Drosophila melanogaster: one gene and its partners. Changing the gene in region 1 together with any one later gene gives a genetic interaction. Each region holds a gene or a part of one and is shown on either strand. Other genes may lie near its edges.

Region 1 (5,940 bases):
TGTTGGTGACCACCGCTTGGGACTGCTTCTGTTTCTCGGCCGCCGCTTCGATTGTGTCAATTAATGAAACCATTGTGTCTCCGGATTTCAAAGTGCGGCAGCATTCAAAAGATCTGCCGATGTGGAGGTTCCTGTTTTCCTTATCGCGAGTTTTTCCAGCACTTTTTGAGACTCTTCGTTGTTGTTTTCTATTATTTATCGCTGTTACTTTCGTTGTTTTCCTATGTATGAAAACTATTGTGCGCTTGTATTGGTTTCTGCGTTTGTATTGTTGTCACTACGCACACACACACTCGCACACACTATAACTCTGTTTTCCTGTTAAACCGTTATTATTTAATCACTTTTACACCGTTCACCTCGATTAACTTTGTGTATATCTGATTTTTGAGCCACAAAAAACAAAACACAAGGTTATATTATTATTTCACTGCTGTTGCTGTTGTTGTCGTTGTTATTGTGGTTGTAGTCTCAACTGGCCAATTGCACTTTGCTTTTTTCGATAATTCGGATATTTTTGTTATTGCACCTTGAAGTTCTGCACCGACTTGATGTTGAATTCGCGTTTAAGCATCTCACAAACGCGATTTATCCGCAATATATGCATTTTACACTGCGCCTACAGCATTTTTCCTTTCCACACGAAATCTTAATACGCTTTTATTTTTCCGTTTTCTTTGATTGCTGCTTCGTAAACAGTGTGGCAGCAGGGTGGAAAAATACTGCCAACGAGGTGGGAGCGCTTCGAGTATATACCAGAAATACACAACATATGGAAATAACGGCCTATTGGCTACAGTGAATACAAGATACATTTACATTTTTTTATTTGTGTATTTCGCTATTTGTAAAAAAAGCGAGAATTTAATTGAGAAAACGAGTATCTTTTATTTCTGAAATAAGCACTATGCTGTTTCAACAATATCTCTGTTAATTCCAGACTATCTGGCTGATAAATGTTTCCCAGTCACGATCGATAGTGTGGGGATGGATTGAAGTTAATGACAAGTTTTATTTATTTTGTACGAAGTCACACCTAGCTCTTATCTTATGTACTCCCACCTAAGCCTTGGGCACCACTGAACTGCTATTGGGGGACACCAGCTCATCGCCGCCTCCGTTGTTGCCCACATCCGCCAGCGGATCCGCGTTCTGGCCACCAACTGAACCGGCATCCGTGTCCAAGGCCTCGCTCAAGCCATCATCGTCGTCGTCATCACCGCCAGATTTGTTGTACACGGTGGGGTACTTCTGGAAACAGTCGCGCATCTTGGTGAAGGCATCGTAGCAGTCCGATCCCTTGGGATCGGCGGTGCTGTTCTGGAAGCAGGAAAATGCCTCACGGAAATCGACGCCACAGGGACCGGTGGCCATGCCGCCGAGGCAGGGACAACTCCAGTTGATCTTGCCGTCCTTGGTGATCACGCCCTCCGGCTTTTCCGGCGGCGGCAGCTCGATGGTGCTGGGCGTGGCATGGTCCTCCTTGGTCACAAAAATCACCTTGTCCTTGCCGTACTCCTTGCAGTAAGAGAATGACATCCTGATGCGGTAATGCTAGTTAAATGCTACAAACTCCTCGGGGGATTCCTCAAAATCCAAGGGCTTTCGGGATGTGCTGAGCACCTGAAAATGGCAGGGCACCTCCTGGTAGTATCCTATTAGGGCTATAGCTACGCGAACGCGATCCAGGACGTTCTCGGGCACCCGGAGAATGGAGCGTTTTTGGCTGGAACTAAATTTCACAATTTCCAGTATGGTCTGGCCACCTATTTCGCCAAAAATACTAGCCAAGGAGCTATGGATGCAGCCACAGAAGAATACGGGCGTCAGAGTCACGGAGTCTGGATCACGGAGTTTTCTGGCGATTAAAAACGTGAATTATCTTAATTATATTTGCATGATGCACGTGCGCACGTGGGAAATACGGGGCTTTAAGGAGCGGGGCTGAGTGCCCGGAACTCACATCTTCACGTCCAGATATTGGTAACCACTCATGCTTTGGGTGCAAGTGCCAGTGCCCCTCTTTTTTTGGCGGAATCTTCGGGAAAAGTCGTCCAAAAGTTGCCGGTCAGTGTGTTTTTTTTATGTAATTACTCCCCTTTTTTGCTGTTTCTTTCTGCTTCTCAAACAGCTGTGCGCCGCCAGAGATGCCAGCTCGGCTCACAACGGACATGAGTAGTTATAAAATAGCTAAAATTATAGCCATTTATTAAAACATTTAAATTGTTATTGGAACTACTTAAATGCAATTTTATTAAAATGGTTACAAGTTTATGGGGTTTTTCCGCTTTTTAATCTCATTTAGTAGCCATCACAGAAATCATTTCAGTTCGTTGTGAATGACAAAAAAATCAGATCACAGTAAAATCAGTTAGGATTCAAATTCAAATTCTTCATGACGGTTATAATGTATATTACACTGAGTATTACAATTCGCTAGTCCTAATCATCGGACACAACCGCGACAGTCTTTTCAATGCTCTTCTCAAAGTCCAGCGATGATTTGGATGTTTCCAAGATCTCAAAATGACAGGGTATCTGCTGGTAGTGACCGATGAGCTCAATGGATATGCGGGTCATGTCGTGCAGTTGCTCTGGCACTCGAAAGATAACACGATGTTGCTGGGCGCAGAACTTCACGATCTCCAGTGTGGGTTTCTCCTCGCAGAAGAAACTGTCCAGGGCGTCAAGAACGCAGCTTCGAAACAGAGATGGGGTCAAAGCAACTGCAGTCGGATCCCGAAGTTTACTATTAAATAAATGAATATATTTACTGAATTTAATAACAACCAAGTTTATATTAATGACCGCAGAACATCATTCTACTCACAGTTTGATGTCGAAATAGTAATAGTTCGCCATGGTGATCTTGCGCGTTCCTTTTAAGCGGGATCCTCTGTAGTGATAGAGTTTTGTGCGTTCGGGGCGATTGGCAAACTGATTTTGCAGTGAATTGCGCGCCGCGCAGTCTTTGTCGAAATTCTCTCACGCAAGACGTGCAATTTAAATAACGAAACTCGAAACAACAAATAGTCAAATTTAACTTCGAAACTGTCAAATGGAGAAGCTAACGAATGTTCAGGCACAGCAGGAAGAGGAGGAGGAAGAAGGTCCACTCAGCGTGACTAAGTTAATAGTGAGTAGGCTGCGATCTCGACCAGGATTATTATGGGCATTCCCTACGATATCCTCCTCCTAGGGCGGCAGCATCACGGCCAAGGACATCAAGCTGCTCCAGCAGGCCAGTCTGCACACCGTGGAGTCGGTGGCCAATGCCACCAAGAAGCAACTGATGGCCATTCCCGGCTTGGGCGGCGGCAAGGTGGAGCAGATCATCACGGAGGCTAACAAACTGGTGCCTCTGGGCTTCCTTAGTGCTCGCACCTTCTATCAAATGCGTGCCGATGTCGTGCAGCTGAGCACGGGCTCCAAGGAGCTGGATAAACTGCTGGGCGGCGGCATTGAGACGGGATCCATTACCGAGATCTTTGGCGAGTTCCGCTGCGGAAAGACCCAATTGTGCCACACTCTGGCAGTAACCTGCCAGCTGCCCATCAGCCAGAAGGGCGGCGAGGGCAAGTGCATGTACATCGACACGGAGAACACCTTCCGTCCGGAGCGTTTGGCTGCCATCGCGCAAAGGTACAAACTGAATGAATCCGAGGTGCTGGACAATGTGGCCTTCACCCGTGCCCACAACTCAGATCAGCAGACCAAGCTCATCCAGATGGCGGCGGGCATGCTCTTTGAGTCCAGATACGCTTTGCTGATTGTGGACAGTGCCATGGCGCTCTACAGATCCGATTATATTGGTCGCGGGGAGCTGGCCGCCAGGCAAAACCATTTGGGCTTATTTCTGCGCATGCTTCAACGCCTGGCCGATGAGTTCGGAGTGGCTGTGGTAATTACTAACCAGGTTACTGCCTCGCTGGACGGCGCACCCGGCATGTTTGATGCCAAGAAGCCCATTGGCGGGCACATCATGGCCCACTCCTCAACCACGCGGCTGTATCTGCGCAAGGGTAAAGGCGAAACCCGCATCTGCAAGATCTACGACTCGCCCTGTTTGCCGGAATCGGAGGCCATGTTCGCCATTCTGCCGGATGGAATAGGAGACGCCAGGGAGAGCTAATTGTGCTCACTTATAGGTTAATTAATGCTAGGAATAGAGCTCCCTAACTTTCTAATGATTACTTATCCCTAGACTAAGAATTAAACTTCGTAGATTGTTTTTTTTTTTGTTTTAATGTTTACTTAGAATGTTTAGGATAACGACGAAATAAAACAGCCGTTGCGAATTGTATGTACCATCTATATTTAATTCAATATTATTCAAATCATCTACAAACTTAGAAAATATTTAGGGGTTTCGAAGCAAAAACCTTTTTTTTAGTCTGGTAATAAGCGGATGCAGCAGGAAAAGCCCCATCAGCGCAGCGTAACACGACATGCACCTGGCAGGCAAACAGAATTAAGGAATTTAGCTGAATTTTTAACCTAGAATTAAGCATAGCCCACTTGGCTCATCAAAACTTTGTCATCCAAAGCACGGTCTTTAAGTTGCCTGGTTTGTAACGCTTACGAGTAACTGCAAGAAAGAGGATTCTTGAAGATGTGTTTCAACTCAGCGGTTTGCGGTTTCCCATCCTACCTTATCATGTAATTGGTCCAGCAGAACTGGTCCTCGATCATTTACTGTGGAGCCGATCCGGCTGAAGCGGCGGCCTCCTTGGCCAAAACCAGGCTATTATATCCGCGCTCGTTCATCCCGACGCGAAGGTTTTCGTTGATATTTTTCGTATAGGTCTTGTAGATTTTTACCTTTTCGCAGAAGTCGATCCAAAAGTTGTCCTCGCTCTCGGGCTCCGGATTGAAGAGACTCTTGAAGCCATCGTATATGCCAGAGGAGACCTTGCGTATGGTCTGCGCCCTCTCCTTGAACTCCACCTCGTCGGACAGGTCCATTTTCCAGAGCTCCAGATTGCCCACATACCGGCGAAGTCGGCGCATTATGTCCACGCACTCCGGATTGCGCAGCAGCATCAACTTGGTGAACTCCACCTCCTTGAACTGCTCGAGGATCTCCAGGCATTTGCCCACATTGGCGCGCCGCAGGCCCAAACATTCGCGCAGCTGCTGGGAAAGTTGGATGAAGTCTCGCTCCATGAAGAGGGCATCCTCGTGCTCAATGAGCTCCTCGATGAATCGCAAAGCCTCCTGCTTGGGTATTTCGCTGCGTGTTGGCTCCACCACGATCCTATCGGGCATGGACTCCGGATTGATTTGGCCGCTCTCTAGTTTCAGTTTGAGCTCCAAGGCTTCTTTGCGGGCGTTCTCCATCCAGGCTTCCTCGGCAGCGGCGCTTTCGAAACTCTCCGGCTTTTTGTAGTTTATAACGATTCCCAAACACTTGGCTGTGGGCATGTACACCATGAGCATCTCGTTCCGGATGTTCTGTTTGGGCAAAAATGGAAATCAATGTATCGTAATTCATACTAGTTTATGTCTGGTGGTATTTCTGCATCGCACTTACATTGACTGGCCGCGACCGCTTCTGAATCGGAGTTACTGCAGCCGTGGGCTTGGATTTCTTCACTGATTTCTTGCTGGAGGTGGGGGTCGCCGCAGCCGGAGCAGCGGGGATGGCTGCGGCGGTAGCCAGACCCTCGGTGGGAACCCTTCGCTTGGCCGGCGGAGGTGCTAGTTCCGCGCCTGCTTCACTATCCCCGTCCACATGGCGCGGTGGTGCCTTGGTCTTCCGGGTGCCGCTCTTCTTGGGCTTCTCGGCCGCTGCTGCGACTGGTGCAGCAGTGGCTGGCTCCGGTCCCGGCTCCGGCTTGGGCTCCTCCGTCTTGACGCCATCACCAGTTGTGGGCGGAGCAACTGGCTCCGCGCCGTCGAGCAAATCAATGGGCGCCGAGTCCTCGCCGCGCAAGGCGC
Region 2 (7,869 bases), on another chromosome or scaffold:
AACCTTTAATATAAAAGCTGGGGCACAAGTTATTAAATAATAATATTTATGTTTTCCGTAGAGAACGACTGGAGAAGCAGTTTCGCCTGTGTAGCAGCTGCGAACGACATGTGAATAAAGTCCTGCACGAGAAGAAGAAAATGGTGTTGAGCTCCAAGTTCTTGAACTATATCATCAAGGGAGCATCGTTGCTCAAGCAGCCGCACTTCAACCGATTGGCCGCTGCCCAAAAGCAGTTTAAACTGCAGCGATACCGCATTCTGATGACCATCCTGACTGTAGTCAATATTTTGTGCCTGCTCTGCCGGCTGCCGAATGCAACTTCCATTCAGTTTACGACTTACCTTGGAAAATTCATTGGGCTAACCTTGTTCTACGCCTACTCCCACGTGCTGGCCTTAATTCGAGTGGTGACTTCGAGCGTAGGCATTTTCCTGGAACAGCGCGAAATGATAGCCAAACTTTTATTGTATGGCCGTACCTTTGGCAAGCTCTTGCTGTATTCGCTTGGCATAGGCCAACAGCAAGTGCAGCAAGCAACCTTCGCATCCTGTTTTATTGGGATCTACCCATATGCCATGCTGGCCCTGTGTTTCCTGCACACGATATACGACGGATTGAAATTTACGCGATTCACCATTGCTCTATTGTTATGGAGTGGGTATGCCATGGGTATCGAATTCCTGGATCCTTACATCAGTGGAATATCCTTTATAGTAAGTGCATTTACTTATATTTGAATCTTATTTAACAAATTCTTTAAACAGCTGGTGGGAAGTTTTGTAACCCTTGTTTTGTTGGCCACCAACCGGACCAATCTGTTGAGCCAAGTGAATCGGGACGAGTCTGCCTGTGAGAGCTTCCATCGCCTCTGTGCGGACGAATGCGATGATGAAACGCTGAGCATGCTCAGTCAGCAGTTAAGTGGATACAGTGATATCAGCAATAGCAATTTGTCCATGCGAACCGCCTCTGTGTGCCACTCACCCGCCCCAACGATTTCCCAGCGAACAATTCAGGCGCCTGCTTCTTTGCTGTCCCTGGACTCGTTGCATCTGTCGAAGCAACGGATGGAACAGCAGGCTTGGTCCTCGAACTATGGAGATGCCTCTACAGTGGTTGCCCCGCGTGTCCAGCCGGCGATGATGTTTCAACAGAAACCCATGAGACCATTAGAGTCCCAATGGTATCGCCATGGACAAAGTAACCTGGCCCAAGGCAATACTTTCACTAGATCCACGCAAAATCTTTTGATGCCATCGCGTTTGCCGTCCATAAACAGGAACGTCGGCGGAGCTGATGTAAGCGCCTGGGTGGCGGCCAATCAAAGTGTGAACCAAGATCTATGCACTGCCAATCTAATGAGACATTACGAAGAGAAACAGCAGAATCAACTTTCCCGCACTTCGTCACAATCTTCTGGATTTGAGTCGCAGCCACGTCCAGAAGCCCAATGCGGAACAGGTGCTGCAACTGTAAGGGACTACGGCTGGTCCGAAGCCCGTGAGAGTCAGCGAAATTTCGCAGTTTTTCCGCCAATGCCGTCACCTACACCCACAATAACGCCTAGTGAATATCAATACTCGAGGACTGCTCTTCCGCAGCAACAGCCAACTATGCAGCCGGGGGATTTACTTAGGAAGTGGATTGAGATTAACTCAAAATCCTCACAGCCAATACACTAATGTGATGTGAGGTCATAAATATCTAGAAAAACTTAGAAAAAATTCTGGAAAAGATCACCGCCAGTTGGGAAATTATATAAATTTGACTTAACTTAATTATCAAATAATTTATTTTTGACTTACAGTTTTTAAGCTTCTTTATTCTACTAAAGGTTAGTCCTCCCTTTACTTATAATCGACTAAATAAGTAGTGTTTAGCTAGACATTCTTTAATCTGTGTAGCTCTAAGTTTCGTGGTTTTCAATATAGAACTTTTCAGGGAATTGAAAGTCAGGGAGTAAGATTAGAAGGTAATATAAATACTACTTGATTTTAAAGGGAGAATAAAGCTTTGGTAACTAAGTTATTTATTCATTGAAGACAATCATTCAAAGTTTGTTTTTATCGTTAACTAAACTTTTGTGACTCACATAAACTAGATAAATTGTTTATTATACAAATACATATTTTTTGAAATAAAAGCAAAACAAAAAAATGGTTATTATTTTGTTAAGTTAAGTGCAGTTATAAGAAAATATTCATTATCAAGTTAAATTCAATAATAACAGTGACCTGTCTTTTTGGTTGTTTTTCTCTTTTAAAAAATGTTATATTGTTCTCTTAGATTTCAGAACACGCTCTCTTAGTGCAGTGCTGCCAGTTGGTTAACGGCGCGGTGTAGAAATCAAAGTGGCCGTTTCCAAAGTCGGCACGGCACTTCAAAAATTCATACATTTGCCCCTGAAAGTATGTTGTTTATGTTGTTGTTAATATTGAACAAATATATTATGAATTTAAATTATCTTAATAAACAATTATGTATATAAGGTTGTGTAGCCTCTAACCATTCTCGAATGTAAAATTTAGCTGGTTATTTCAAATTACACATTAATCAATCAGTCTGTGGGCGCGGTTTTTAGATGACAGCTTGCTGTATATTTAGTATATAAGTAGTAACAGGAGAAAAAGTTTAGTATTTTTGAATACCGTCCAGCTGGCAACACTGCTACAATATGGCTGCCGTATCGTAATGTGAATTTTTTTGAGAGACCGAGACGTACATACTTTTGTTGCTGCCAAAGTGGATGTGGACGGAGGAAAATAGTAATATTTAACTGCGTTGCGGGAGCGGGACAATCGTCGTTTGCCAATTGCGGCCACCGCTTATGTCGGCTAATCGGCTATCAATAATATTAGTAATCGTATCAATATCAAGTTACCCATTACCCATCGCGGATACACATTAGTTTTGCGAAGGGCAGAGCAGCGCAGAGCATATAGCGAATATTTCCATTTGTTGCCAACAAGACTGTCGTTGTTGTTGTTATTATTGTGGCTTTTCAGTGACTGGGGAGAGCAGTGGGGGTGCGTTCGTAATCCTTGTGAAAAATCGGTGACCGTTCTTCTTAAAAAAAAAGCGAAAGAAAAAACCATCGCGATAAGAAAATATAAGAAAGAAAAATCTGATTGAAAACCAAAGAGCTGCTGCTACTGCTGCTGTGCGAGTGAGAGCGGTCGAGAGGTAGCTAGTGAGCGAGTGAGAAAGCTATGTATTGCATTTGCATTTCGTTGTGTGTGTCGTCGTTTTCGTTCGGTAAAAGTCGGTAAAAAGCAGAGCCTTTCCAAACCTAACCACTTTCGGGTAAACGGAATCGGAAAAGGAACTGGGAAAATCGAAAGAAATTAAATAATAATATGCGTTACATCGATGGCAACAACAACAACAACAGCAGCGACCATCAGCTAGCGACTCCTCTCTGAGCGAGAGAGCTAATAGCTTTTCAGCTTTAGCTTTTCTTGGGCCAATCGGAAATTGTATTTCATTGGTAAGTACAAGAAGTGGCAGCACCATAACCAGCAAATCAATACTTGGGCTGCCATTCCGTTTCGTTCCGTTCGTCAGTTTTCCTAGCCCATTCGTTGGCGCTCTCTCTTTTCCGTCAGTCTCTCTCTTTCTCTTCCCCAAAAGAGAGCGAAAACCCCCCGCCCGCCCACACTCGGTGTATGTGTGCTTTGTAATAACGAGTACACTTTTCTGCACATACGAAAAAGAAGGAAAAAAGAATAATAAAATAAGAAGAAAAAATGAAAGACCGAATAAAGAAATTCACATAAACTTATGGCACTCTCCCTCGCGCTCTCTTCATTTGCAACTAGTGTGCGTGCTTAAATTTTTAAAAAACAGTTGTTTTCACCGAAAGGGAATTTTCATTTCGATGGTATATTTTTAGCCAGCAAGCTCCTTTCGGAAATTATTTATAACCCCCCTCGAAATGTTTCCACGCAACGATTTACGCGATAAACTTTTACAAAATCAGATATAAGTAAGTGCAAAGACCACTTGATTTTCGTATAGTATGTAAGTCCACGAATTGCTTACGTATTTATGAAATATTACTGTGCGTAGGTCGGTGGGCGTGTTTCAACGTTTTAGCCCACAGTTTTCACTCATTTTCCTGCGGGGTTTCCGCTTGTGACAAAGGCATTCAAAGAACCAACAAGAAAATCCCGGGGGCGTGGCACCACCCATGCAATTAAATTAGACCAAAAAAGTGCTTACACTTTGTATTCTAGAGAATGTTTCAAATCATTGAACATAAACAGAAGAATTCATGCGAATTTAGAACTAATGGAAATTGGGAGCAAGGATACATAAAGTTGGAGGAATTCAAAAATGTAATTGTTTAAAATTTAAGCGTTAGTAACCAAGTTCTTGTTAAAATATATGCCGCTTAATTAAGTTTAAATCTGTTATTCACAAGTAAAATTATATTTATTATTAATTTCTCTTAATTTGGATATTAAAAAACCTCATTTTGTAGATTGCAAGAGTACGAAATCAAGAAGACGTACATATTTGTTGTTAAGAATCCGTTCCTAATATAAGTAAATTGCTAGAACAATGGATGAATTTTCGGAGAATATAGAAAGAATTGCCCTCGAGTTGCTGAGCAACTTGGTTCATGGCAATGCCACTCTTAGTGTTCCCCGAAATTCATCCGGAAACGTGATCTCGGAATATCGACGAGTCAGCTATAATAATCGCGGAAGTCGCCATAGCTTTTGCGTGCTGATTTACATGCTCTCCCGGGTGCACCGATTGCAAGTCCGCGGAGGAAGTTTCACCGTCCGTGGACTATACTATGACAATCCTCTGCTAGTCCGGTCGCAGTCCAGGATTGCCGAAGCCAGGCTAGATGTCTGTCGTATGCTGAGGACATCCCCCCTAAGCTTGGGCATACTGGCCGCCTCCAAGGGCCTGGTGGCAGGTGAGTTTATCTCGAAATCCTGATCAAAGGCTCCCTGCTCATCCGGTTACTCTTGCAGGCGACTTAAGGCTGCTGATGACCAACGGAGACGTTCTGGACAGCAGCTTGTATGGTGGACCTCTGACATTGCCCACGGATCCCGAGAAGATAGATCGAATCGAAACGCTGGCGGAATTTGTGCTAATCGTTGAAAAGGAGTCGGTTTTTGAGAGTCTCTTATCCAGAAATGTATTTGGTACTTTTGAACGACGCTTCATCCTTATAACTGGAAAAGGATACCCCGATTGCTGTACCCGGAGGATTGTCCATCGGCTCACCGAGGAGAACCAACTGGCGGCCTACATTCTCGTTGACGCCGATCCATTTGGCGTCGAGATAATGCTAGTCTATCGCCATGGCTCGAAGTCCATGAGTTTTTCCAGCCAAGGACTAACCACACCTGCGCTGCGTTGGATTGGTCTACACCCCTCGGAGATTCCCGCACTCGGCACTGGAGCGGTTGCCCTGGTTGCCGGCGACAACAAGAAAATCAATGACCTCCTCGCCCGCCACGATTTGGAGCCGGGAGTGCGGCAGGAACTGCGCATGCTGCAGGACGTTCAGCTGAAGGCCGAAATCGAGAGTGTCATCGACTTCCTGACCGACGACTATATACCAAATAAAATCAATCGGAACTTGTTTTTGTAGAGTTCAGTGGTAAACCCCATAAGCCAAATATTATTACTCTTGAAATATTATTAGTTAGTTTAAAATATGTTGTAGGTATAGTAATATAGTAATTAGTTTGTAAAAAACGTATCTCTATAAAGATACCATAAGACTCCTAAAAATAGTACTGTAAAAGTTAGTTCGCGTAATCAGCTTTCCATTAATATTTGAATTAATTAAGATAGTAATTTAATAATTAAATTCCCCATTCATTGGGATTCCGATTTTGTTGCTTATGTTATAAAATGTAATGTTTAATTTCAATGCAGCTTTAATAACGTCAATATAATATTACGACTAATTAATATTAAAGTACCTTAAGATCCTTGCCTTTAGAAAACATAATTTTAATATTTGGATAACGGATAATAGTAATTTACACTCGTAATGTCTGAGTAATCTGCTTCTAGTGTTTCGTATTGAGTGGTCAACTTGATTTTCTGCATTACTTTGTGTGGACGAAGCCAGTAAACTCAAGCAGACAAAGGAGATTATTTTTTTTATTGTGCCTCTAAAGTGTTATGGCTTGAGGTCGGTAATCGGAGCCGGTAATTGGCTACGTTTTTGATAATGGCAAGTGAATGGCCAGTCATATTATAGGTGCCGAAAGATACAAGTAGTCTGCTTTGTTTAGATCCATACTAATTGCGTGCATTTATTTCTTGCAGATGTGAAGGAGTACCACGGATGATAGAAACCCATTGGGCATTTGACTACTTTTAAGCACCGAAACCTGAAAGACTCCCGAAAATACTCGAATCTCACGTGCAGAATCTCTAAGAATCCCTATTGGACTGTTTAAAAATATGTCGACAGCAATGCGCACCACACTGCAGTCAGTTCCTGAGGCCCTGCCAGCGGATAGCGTGTCCAATGGCACAGCATCCAATGTAGCAGCACCGGCGGCGCCAGTATCGAGCGCAACAAACGCGGTGCCACCACTGGCCGCCGTCTCCAGCACAACCGCCACCTACGCCACCAACTCGATCAGCACATCCTCGCATTCGGTCAAGGATCAGCAGCAGCAACAGCAGCAGCAGCAGCATGATTCGGCCAATGCAAACATTGTGTCACTGCCACCAACGACAACGCCAGTCGCCAACACTAACACAATGATGCCCATTGTAACGTCCTCGAATTCGGCCACCAGCAATAGCACTGCGGCCACGCCCACGCCGGCCTCGGGGGCGGCAGCGACAGGTGGAGTGGGATCTGTTTCCCAGGGTCCAGCGACCGTTTCGGCGTCAGCGGCCAACACCAATCACTCGCACCAGCACAGCCACCAACACCACCACCATGTGGCCAACAACATGACCACCGACGGTGCCCGCTTGTCCAGCAACAATTCGGCGGTGGTGGCGAGCTCAGCGATTAACCACCACCATCACCACACCCCCGGCAGTGGAGTGGCGCCCACCGTCAACAAGAACGTGCTTAGCACCCACTCGGCTCATCCCTCCGCGATCAAGCAACGAACCTCGTCCGCCAAGGTGAGTCCTTCTTTGGGTTTCGTCAGTGTCCGTACCTATCACCCGTCCCCACGTCCCCTAGTCCGTTTTTTTGGGGGCCTTGTTCATCAACCCATCTCTTGTTTGCTCCTGCAATGTGGCTTGGGTCATCAGTTTTCTTGTGGTCCATTTATAGAGGGTATCAAGGGAAGGTAGCCTGTCGAAGGTGAAGTGAAGACTCTTAAAGTTTCAATCAGCTTGTTGAATAAGAAATACCATACTGCTGGATATAACTGATTCGAATCTAAGCTTCGCCTTCGTGTGTGTCAAATGTGTCGTACGAAAAGTAACGCTGTGTTTTGTCAGGTGGGGGAAATTTATATATAAATGCATTTTAAAAACGTATTTTAAAAATCATATCATATATCAGAATTATAAATCTGTCTGCTTATACAGTAACGTTTAGTTTTCTGAATTTTATCTAGAATAACTGATGTCTCATATTATGAGTAATCGAAACCTCGTATACATCTCATTGTTTTTCTTACATATATGTATCATCATCACTGTGAACACAGTTAAATAAAATCTATATCGTTGTGTACCGTGCTACAGTTTTAAATCGACAAGTTCAGTGAACTCCTTTAACACGACAAATGGGTTGGTATCCAAGAATATTCTATATCTGGGACCTATTTAATGAGTTGGACATATAAAAATATAACTGTCACCTTATTTACCTTTTTACGAAAACTTTGGGTGGTACTGTTACCGTTTATT
Region 3 (6,954 bases), about 14 Mb from region 1:
TTCTTGAGGCACTCTGTTATGTAGAGCGTCACATAGATGAGCACGCGATCCACGTCGGACTGAAAATGGTAAAACATAGTTTGTGAATTCAAGTAGCAAGTAGCATAAGGATTCAATATGACCATCACGTGACCAGGTAATGGTTCTGAATCCCGGATTACGGCCTCACCTTGATTTCGTACGTGCGAAAGAAGACATTGGCTTTGAAGTAGTACAGTGACTCATCAATGATGTCGCTCTCAATATTCGCACTGGGCGCTGGCCCGCGCACCTGCGTCCTCAGCGGCAGGATGGCCATGTTGCCCACCTGCTGGCGCACTTCCTTGATCTGCGAGTGGTAGGCCTGAAAGCATAGTTAATTTACAAGATTGCCTTTTCCCTTGGAAATTTTTATGCTTGGCAGGGGGTCACGAAAGCAGGTGAAAAGAACTGGGAATATCTCAACGCCAACTCGTTTGCCTTTGATGCGCAAGTATCCACTAACCGGCATGTTGAATTGTATTTTAAATTAATTATTTAAATTAACGTTGAAAACGTTATTTTTTCGATGTTAAATATTGTTTTTAATTATAGGCGTCCACTGTTTACAAATTTTGCAGCTCTAATTTATCGACAAGACCGATAAGTCGCGACCGAAATGGTCACACTGAGCTAAATTTTTAAAATTGTGGACAATTCCATTAAATACTACAAGTTTTTTAGTTCGTTATTAATATTTTTTTATAAATTGTTGTACATCAACCAATTTAAATATGTTTGACAGTTCCAGATTTTCTGTCAGAAATCGAATCGAAACATCGAATGCTAAACAAATCAAGTTTGTGTTAAATGTTTAAAATTTTTAATGTTTGCGCCATCCACAAAGGAATTTGATTGTGACTTCGCTCTTTATGGATGAAAGTAAAAAATTCCTCCAGAACGTTGCCCATATCGCTGGCAAATTGGATCTCAACCACTTGGAAAGAACCACGATGGCCTACAAACGTTTATGTCTGGAACTAGAGTCCATGAGCAATGAGGTGACTCCAGCCGTTACTCCTCCGACTTCGGCTTCTGCTTCTCCGCCGACCGCGGTCTCCCCTAATGGACTCCGAGCAAGTGCCTCAGAATTCGTGCCCCAGGTGCCGGTGACCAGTGACCGGATTCCCATTGAAATGGACAATGATGAACAGGATGATGATTCGGATGACGATGGCTACGATGAGGAGCGCAAGAGAGCTGTGAGTATTGGAGATTTGGAGATATGTCTCAGTTTCTAACCATCAACACTATCTATAACACAAAATATTAATTTATCTAAAGATAAATCTACCTAATTTAGCCAAAGCCCGCAATATACGGCATCCGGTTTTATAACCATCATTACGAGTCCGACGACGTGAGCGAAAATCACTTGCAGGCGGAAAAGAAGCGAAAGTTGGGCTATAGGACTCCAAAGTTTCGGCCAAACCAGCCGACTTGCCGGTCCCCAAAGTCGGAAACGGACTTTATTCCCACTGCTAAGCCTCCGCCGGAATTGGCCAATGGACAGCCGCATTTCAATGGACCCTACATGCCGCTTCTGCAGCACCGAATCGCCAACGCAGAGGCCTACGGGCTCATCCAGGGTTCCGACGAGCGGAACAGCCTGCTCCTGGATGACATGGTTAAGCAACTGGCCCGCCTGGACAACTGTCCCGTCAATCTGAGTTCACTTTTCCCGAAAAAAGGTGACCAGAAACCAGAACCCTAGATCGCTCTGAATGTTCTGTAAAAAACTATGAGTTTCTTATTAAAAGGAGGCTTTGACTTAGTATTCGATCTGCTATTCAGTTTTATCATTGGTTGCATACGGTCTCTAAAACTTTTCAGCAGAGAACAAAATGGTAAAAAAAAAAATAAATAAATACAAAGCTGTAGATAACCAAAAAAAAAGGCGATAGCTGTCAATTTCTAAGGCTAGTTAGTTAGTAAGCCCTAATTTCCCTTACAGATTCCAGCTAAAACCGAGACGGAAGCTCCGTGCATTAAAGATCCCAAGGAGATTGAAGCAAAACCTGCTGAAAACATGGAAATTATTCATAAAACGATCGTGGAGGATAAAAAGCACAAAGATCCCAAGGAGATTGAAGCAAAACCTGCTGAAGCCATGGAAAGTGCTGCTAAAATGTTCGTGAAGGATAAAAAGCATATGGAGCAAATGTTGGCTCTTTCCACGATTCCACTGCGCATGGACCAACAAATCCAGTGCATCAAGACAATTCAGCAGGAGCTGCTTAAGCTTCACCTGAAGCAGGTGATGCTCCTCGACGGCTGCACCGAATTACTACATGAACTAAAGGCCGTGCAGCCCACTGATGAGAACGAGGAGATAAAAGTGTTGGAAACATTTCGTGAGGTCAAGTCGAAGCTATCGGGTGTATTTGAACACTACCTTCCCGCCCAGCTGAGCATACTGAAGCAAGAATCGAAGATATCACAAGTGTCCGCCGAAATAATTCCAAAATAATTTTATTACATCGATTTATAAGTTTAAATATAAAATCGTTAAGGGTTCAATATCTTAGCCAAAGATCGTTATCGATATTTCATGTCATTTGTAATATAGGTATCATCTCTATTTAAAAGCGGGCAAATTTGTAAACTTTCCCCAGCTGAAATGAATCCAACGCTTTCCCGGGGGGGCGCCCCATCGCGATTTGTGCGTGGTCGTGGTCGCGGAGGCGGAGCCTACCGTCCGTACTTCTACTTTCGGCGCAATGGACGTGTGATCCCAGCCGGAGGCAATCGACAACCCAACCAAGGGGAACCTGGAGCACCAGACGCTCCTTCTGTTCCGCCTGCAACTCGGCAACCCAGGGGCTGGAGCCGCACAGCCGGCAAGCGAGGACGCAATGCTCACTTGGACTGCAGCTTTCTGCGGCCGGAAAACTATGCCGCACCAGAAGACGGGCTCCAGGTGCAGAGCATTGCGGTGGATAATCCACGGGCTTATTCCGGCTGGCGACTGTACTTCTTGCGCGAGAAATACGAGGAGGGCAACGAACTGGCCACAAGGATAATGGCCGTGGAGGCATACTACCAACGTAATCCTCACACCTTCGATTTTGTGATGATACGGGATCGGGGATTCTTCCCCCTCTGCGCAGCAGGCATCAAATCAGATGCCCAGCTAAAGGAGGTTTGGCCTAGTTTGTCCGAAGACATCCGTGAGCACCCGCTTCGCACGCTAGGAACCCTGTCGTTGGCTATGCACACTGTGGTCGTCAATCACCAGCTGGACTGTAATGATTCCACCACAGCTATGGTGTCCACTCCGGAACAGTACGTCCTTCCAACCCCACGGGTACGCAAGATCTACGCACGACCGGATGATTTTGTGCCTGTGGAATCAATAGAAGGAATAAGCCATTCCCGAGTGGACACTTTGTTTTCCATCCGGGGTTTTGTGAGCAATGTGGGCGAGCCTAGCTACAGCCTCACGTGGCAAGCCTTTCGCTGCAGTCGCTGCCAGATGGAGATTGCCATGCGCCAACGGGGAACCTTCCAGCCACGTCCTTATCAATGCAAGCGGTCGGAGTGTGTGGCTCGTGACGAATTCGTGCCTCTTCGCAGTTCCCCATACACCAGGCTTTCAATCCGACAGATTATCCGCGTGGAGGAGTCCAGTTTGAACTTGGTCCACGACTTTGAGACCAGCATGCCTGCTGAAATGGACGTGGAGCTGCGACATGATCTAGTTGATGCTGTGCGTGTCGGACAGGAGGTCGTGGTAACTGGCATCCTTAAGCTGCAGGAATTGGGCGACGATACCACCACTGGAGACACCTCCAACCAGATGCAGCCCTATCTCAAGGCAGTCAGCATTCGCGATGCGAGCAGCATCAAGCGGGAGTTCAGCGAACGTGACTTGGAAGCGATTGTCATGATCAATGCGGAACCCAACAGCTTTAAGCTACTGGTGCAATCCATTGCCCCGGAGGTATACGGACATGAGCTACCCAAAGCCGCCTGTTTACTATCCCTTCTCGGCGGGAAAGGTGCGGAGACTGAAGCCATCAACGTGCTCCTGGTGGGTGATCCCGGAATTGGAAAGACCAAGATTCTGCAAAGTTGTGCTCAGATCGCTGAACGTGGTGCCCACGTGAGTGGAAAACGTGGGGCTCAATCCGCACAGCAACTGGGTGTTACGTTTGCTGGGCGTAACAAGCGTGTGCTACAAGCGGGTTCCTTGATGATGGCCAGTGGAGGCGGTCACTGCACCCTCGATGATGTGGATAAACTTGCCTCCAAGCAGGCCGTACTGTTGCAGTGCCTACAATCAGAGGAAGTAAATCTTCCACTTGCAGGAGCATTTGCCTCATTCCCGGCGCAACCTTCGGTGATAGCGTGCGCAAATCCACAAAGAGGACAATACGATGAGGGGCGCTACCTTCTACAGAATATTAATATTTCACCCTCTTTGCTGCGGGAGTTCCATTTGGTTTACATATTATTGGACAAGCCCTCGGAGAGAGATATGTCGCTGACTGCCCACGTAAGGGCTCTCCATGCGGGCGCTAGGAAACGAGCGAGAATTGCAGCCCGCTATGCTCTTAAGCCCAAAATGAGCGACTCCATGTGCGAGGTCAGCCTTAATGTGCCGGCAGCGGGAAAAGATGATGACACAATCAAAACGGAGGACGATAATGACAGCATTATGCAGCAGGATTATGATCTTGACAAACGTCTGGAGGTACTTCCGGAGGAGGGGGACTTGGACCTGCTCCCACCCATACTGATTAAGAAGTTCTTGTCCTATGCTCGCCAGGAATTAAATCCGGTCCTAAACGAGGACGCCAGCAATGCTGTTCTGCGTTACTTCCTTGAGCTCAAAGGAAGCTGCAATCTCGATGAAGACGTTTCCAGCCAGATTGGCGCAGGGTAAGTGAAATTTTTTGGTGACGGATTTAATTAAGTTATGTCTTTTATTCTAGTTATAAGTAATCTTTAAGTTAGGACATTGGGCTACCTCATAAGCTTGAGGAAGGAGGAGACGGGAAGCTCCAGAAAGATGGCCAGCAAGAAGGAGCAGAGATAGGACACGGTCACCGTAAAAAAGATGAAAGCAAACTGTAGATAAGATGAGAACAATTTGAGTTACATAAAATCCAATTCCTATTGAATGCCAGAAGTGAGCTCACCATCATGCCCGTGCCAAAATAAATGGGCTCCCGCACTGTGGCCAAGACGATTCTCGCCACAAGAAGGTGGACGATAAAGGCTCCATAAGTGAGGCGTCCCAAAATGCGGAAAATGGGCAAGCAGCAGAACTTACGGAAAATCCCTGTGAAAGAACAGTAAGATTTGCCAAGGATATACCAAGCATATCTCGCAGTTGATACTTACATCCCACTTTGCTGGCCATGCCCACGATGAAGATTCCCAGCCCGAAGCCCCAGATGTTTCGCTGCAGGCCGGCATATAATGCTCCCCAAATGGCCGACGGCGTCACGTAGTAGTGCTGGAAGATGGGATGAGCACTAAACAGCCATAGAATCCCCACTGGAATAAGTGTAAACCAAAGAAGCTGGAAGCTCTTTAACTCCCGTAGTTTGTATTGCTTCAATGCCAACTGATCGTAAACCAAAGCGGCCAGGACTCCACAGAAATAGCTACCGAAGTTCATAAAGGACGACGTGTAGAATTCGGTGAATTGACGATCTCCGATAAAGGAATCCTTCTGGGTTCTGTTTGGTAGATGGGTAGAATGATTGTAATCAAGTAGTAAAGTTTTTAAGTCCGATCACTTACTGTGGCGTGGGTACAAAAATGGGATAGTAGTTCATGGCATATGTGAGCACCATTGGCACCACCACAAAAAGACCCAAAATGCCCGCATAGAGCTGTTTGCTCCATCTGACGAACCGGTGACCCAGCATCAGCAGCACCAAGCTGAGCACAAAGGAATGAGTATCCGCTGCCAAATACCAACCTTGGAGCAGGCACTGCATCCCGAATGGAATTTTGAGTGGATTAGATGATAAATTAGATAAAGCACTCATTACTTACCCGCTCATCCGTGCGTACAAAGTTGTTGACGTAGAGCAGATTGGTCCACCAGTTGCGTCGACAAGCCAACTGCTCCCGCTCAAAGATGTGCCGCCACAGTGGACCTCCAGCGTTCTCAAAGTAAACGCCACTCATGAGCAATACAAAGGCATATGGAACCGTCAGTCGGATGTATCGGAAGATGTTAAACTTGACAAATAGCAAAGCATACTGGCCGAAGCTCCAGGTGTCCTTTTTAGATTCTAGCGAACGTGAAACGGCCAGCCAGTTAATGGTAAGCAACAAACCACTGATCACAAAAAAGGTCACAGTGATCAATGATCCCGAAACGAGTAAAGTGCCAGCTGCCGTGTGAAGCAGTCGCTCCGGATCCTGCGGATTGCTGATGGCGCTCTCGTAAATCACCCAGTTGGTGTGCGCAAATATCACCATGAACATGGCAAAGAACTTGAAGCAGTCGAGAAATCTCAGCTCGCGACCGATCTTACCACTTGGCTCCTGATTAAGTCGGTACCAATTGCGGGCCACCGAAAAGGTGAGCAGCACCTGTTGGGCAGTGCTCTTGGGCGGTGTCTTGTAGTGATCTCGCTCCTTGAGCATTTTATCATGACGGCTTCGCTTTAGATGCAGATCCACTAAGCTACCCAGACAAGCCAGAACCAGTAGAGTGCCCAAGATTCCGTAGAAGGTCAGGTTCCACGCATCTAAAGCCGAGAAGGAATATTTATTTTATCGGTCGTTAGTATTACCTCATCGCCATTAAATGCATAACACTTTTTGGATGCTAATGCAAAGAAACATTATTTACACGATGATATAATCTGTGACTCACCATCTTCCACTTGATGTCCCGCCTCATCGCAGTACTCCACCACGCTCTTGGCCAGCACCCCGAATCCACGACGCTGCAGACGCCAGTTCAGG

What was found. Genes that interact genetically often act in the same process or in processes that back each other up.
Region 2: of spn-A (region 1) and mei-W68, changing one suppresses a phenotype caused by changing the other (phenotypic suppression), as found in Drosophila melanogaster (2 studies listed by BioGRID).
Region 3: of spn-A (region 1) and rec, changing one suppresses a phenotype caused by changing the other (phenotypic suppression), as found in Drosophila melanogaster (one study listed by BioGRID).

The regions. Positions count from the first base shown.
Region 1 is NT_033777.3:30,053,058-30,058,997, reverse strand, and holds spn-A (spindle A), read left to right. Parts: upstream 1-2,960; 5' UTR 2,961-3,058; coding exon 3,059-3,136; exon of another isoform or gene 3,137-3,199; coding exon 3,200-4,132; 3' UTR 4,133-4,302; downstream 4,303-5,940. Other genes in the region: CG7950 (uncharacterized protein), read right to left, coding at 1,063-1,539; Rpp14a (ribonuclease P/MRP subunit p14 a), read right to left, coding at 1,555-1,858, 1,964-1,995; Rpp14b (ribonuclease P/MRP subunit p14 b), read right to left, coding at 2,443-2,749, 2,831-2,862; Jasper (JIL-1 anchoring and stabilizing protein), read right to left, coding at 4,693-5,454, 5,534-5,940. UniProt on the Drosophila melanogaster protein: Plays an important role in homologous strand exchange, a key step in DNA repair through homologous recombination (HR). Binds to single and double-stranded DNA and exhibits DNA-dependent ATPase activity. Underwinds duplex DNA.
Region 2 is NT_033778.4:19,453,486-19,461,354, forward strand, and holds mei-W68 (meiotic W68), read left to right. Parts: upstream 1-2,684; 5' UTR 2,685-3,490; intron 3,491-4,486; 5' UTR 4,487-4,566; coding exon 4,567-4,933; intron 4,934-4,991; coding exon 4,992-5,620; 3' UTR 5,621-6,038; downstream 6,039-7,869. Other genes in the region: CG7744 (uncharacterized protein), read left to right, coding at 62-716, 768-1,685. UniProt on the Drosophila melanogaster protein: Required for meiotic recombination. Together with mei-P22, mediates DNA cleavage that forms the double-strand breaks (DSB) that initiate meiotic recombination.
Region 3 is NT_033777.3:15,828,302-15,835,255, reverse strand, and holds the start of rec (recombination-defective), read left to right. Parts: upstream 1-2,623; 5' UTR 2,624-2,638; coding exon 2,639-4,902; intron 4,903-4,934; exon of another isoform or gene 4,935-4,986; coding exon of another isoform or gene 4,987-5,091; intron 5,092-5,162; coding exon of another isoform or gene 5,163-5,305; intron 5,306-5,367; coding exon of another isoform or gene 5,368-5,708; intron 5,709-5,772; coding exon of another isoform or gene 5,773-5,966; intron 5,967-6,030; coding exon of another isoform or gene 6,031-6,734; intron 6,735-6,862; coding exon of another isoform or gene 6,863-6,954. Other genes in the region: Arpc3A (Actin-related protein 2/3 complex, subunit 3A), read right to left, coding at 1-59, 170-343, 485-490; CG43317 (uncharacterized protein), read left to right, coding at 891-1,220, 1,322-1,732; CG43318 (uncharacterized protein), read left to right, coding at 1,863-1,865, 1,973-2,488; CG4576 (uncharacterized protein), read right to left, coding at 4,987-5,091, 5,163-5,305, 5,368-5,708, 5,773-5,966, 6,031-6,734, 6,863-6,954. UniProt on the Drosophila melanogaster protein: Required for meiotic DNA recombination in females. Probably not involved in DNA repair and recombination in somatic cells.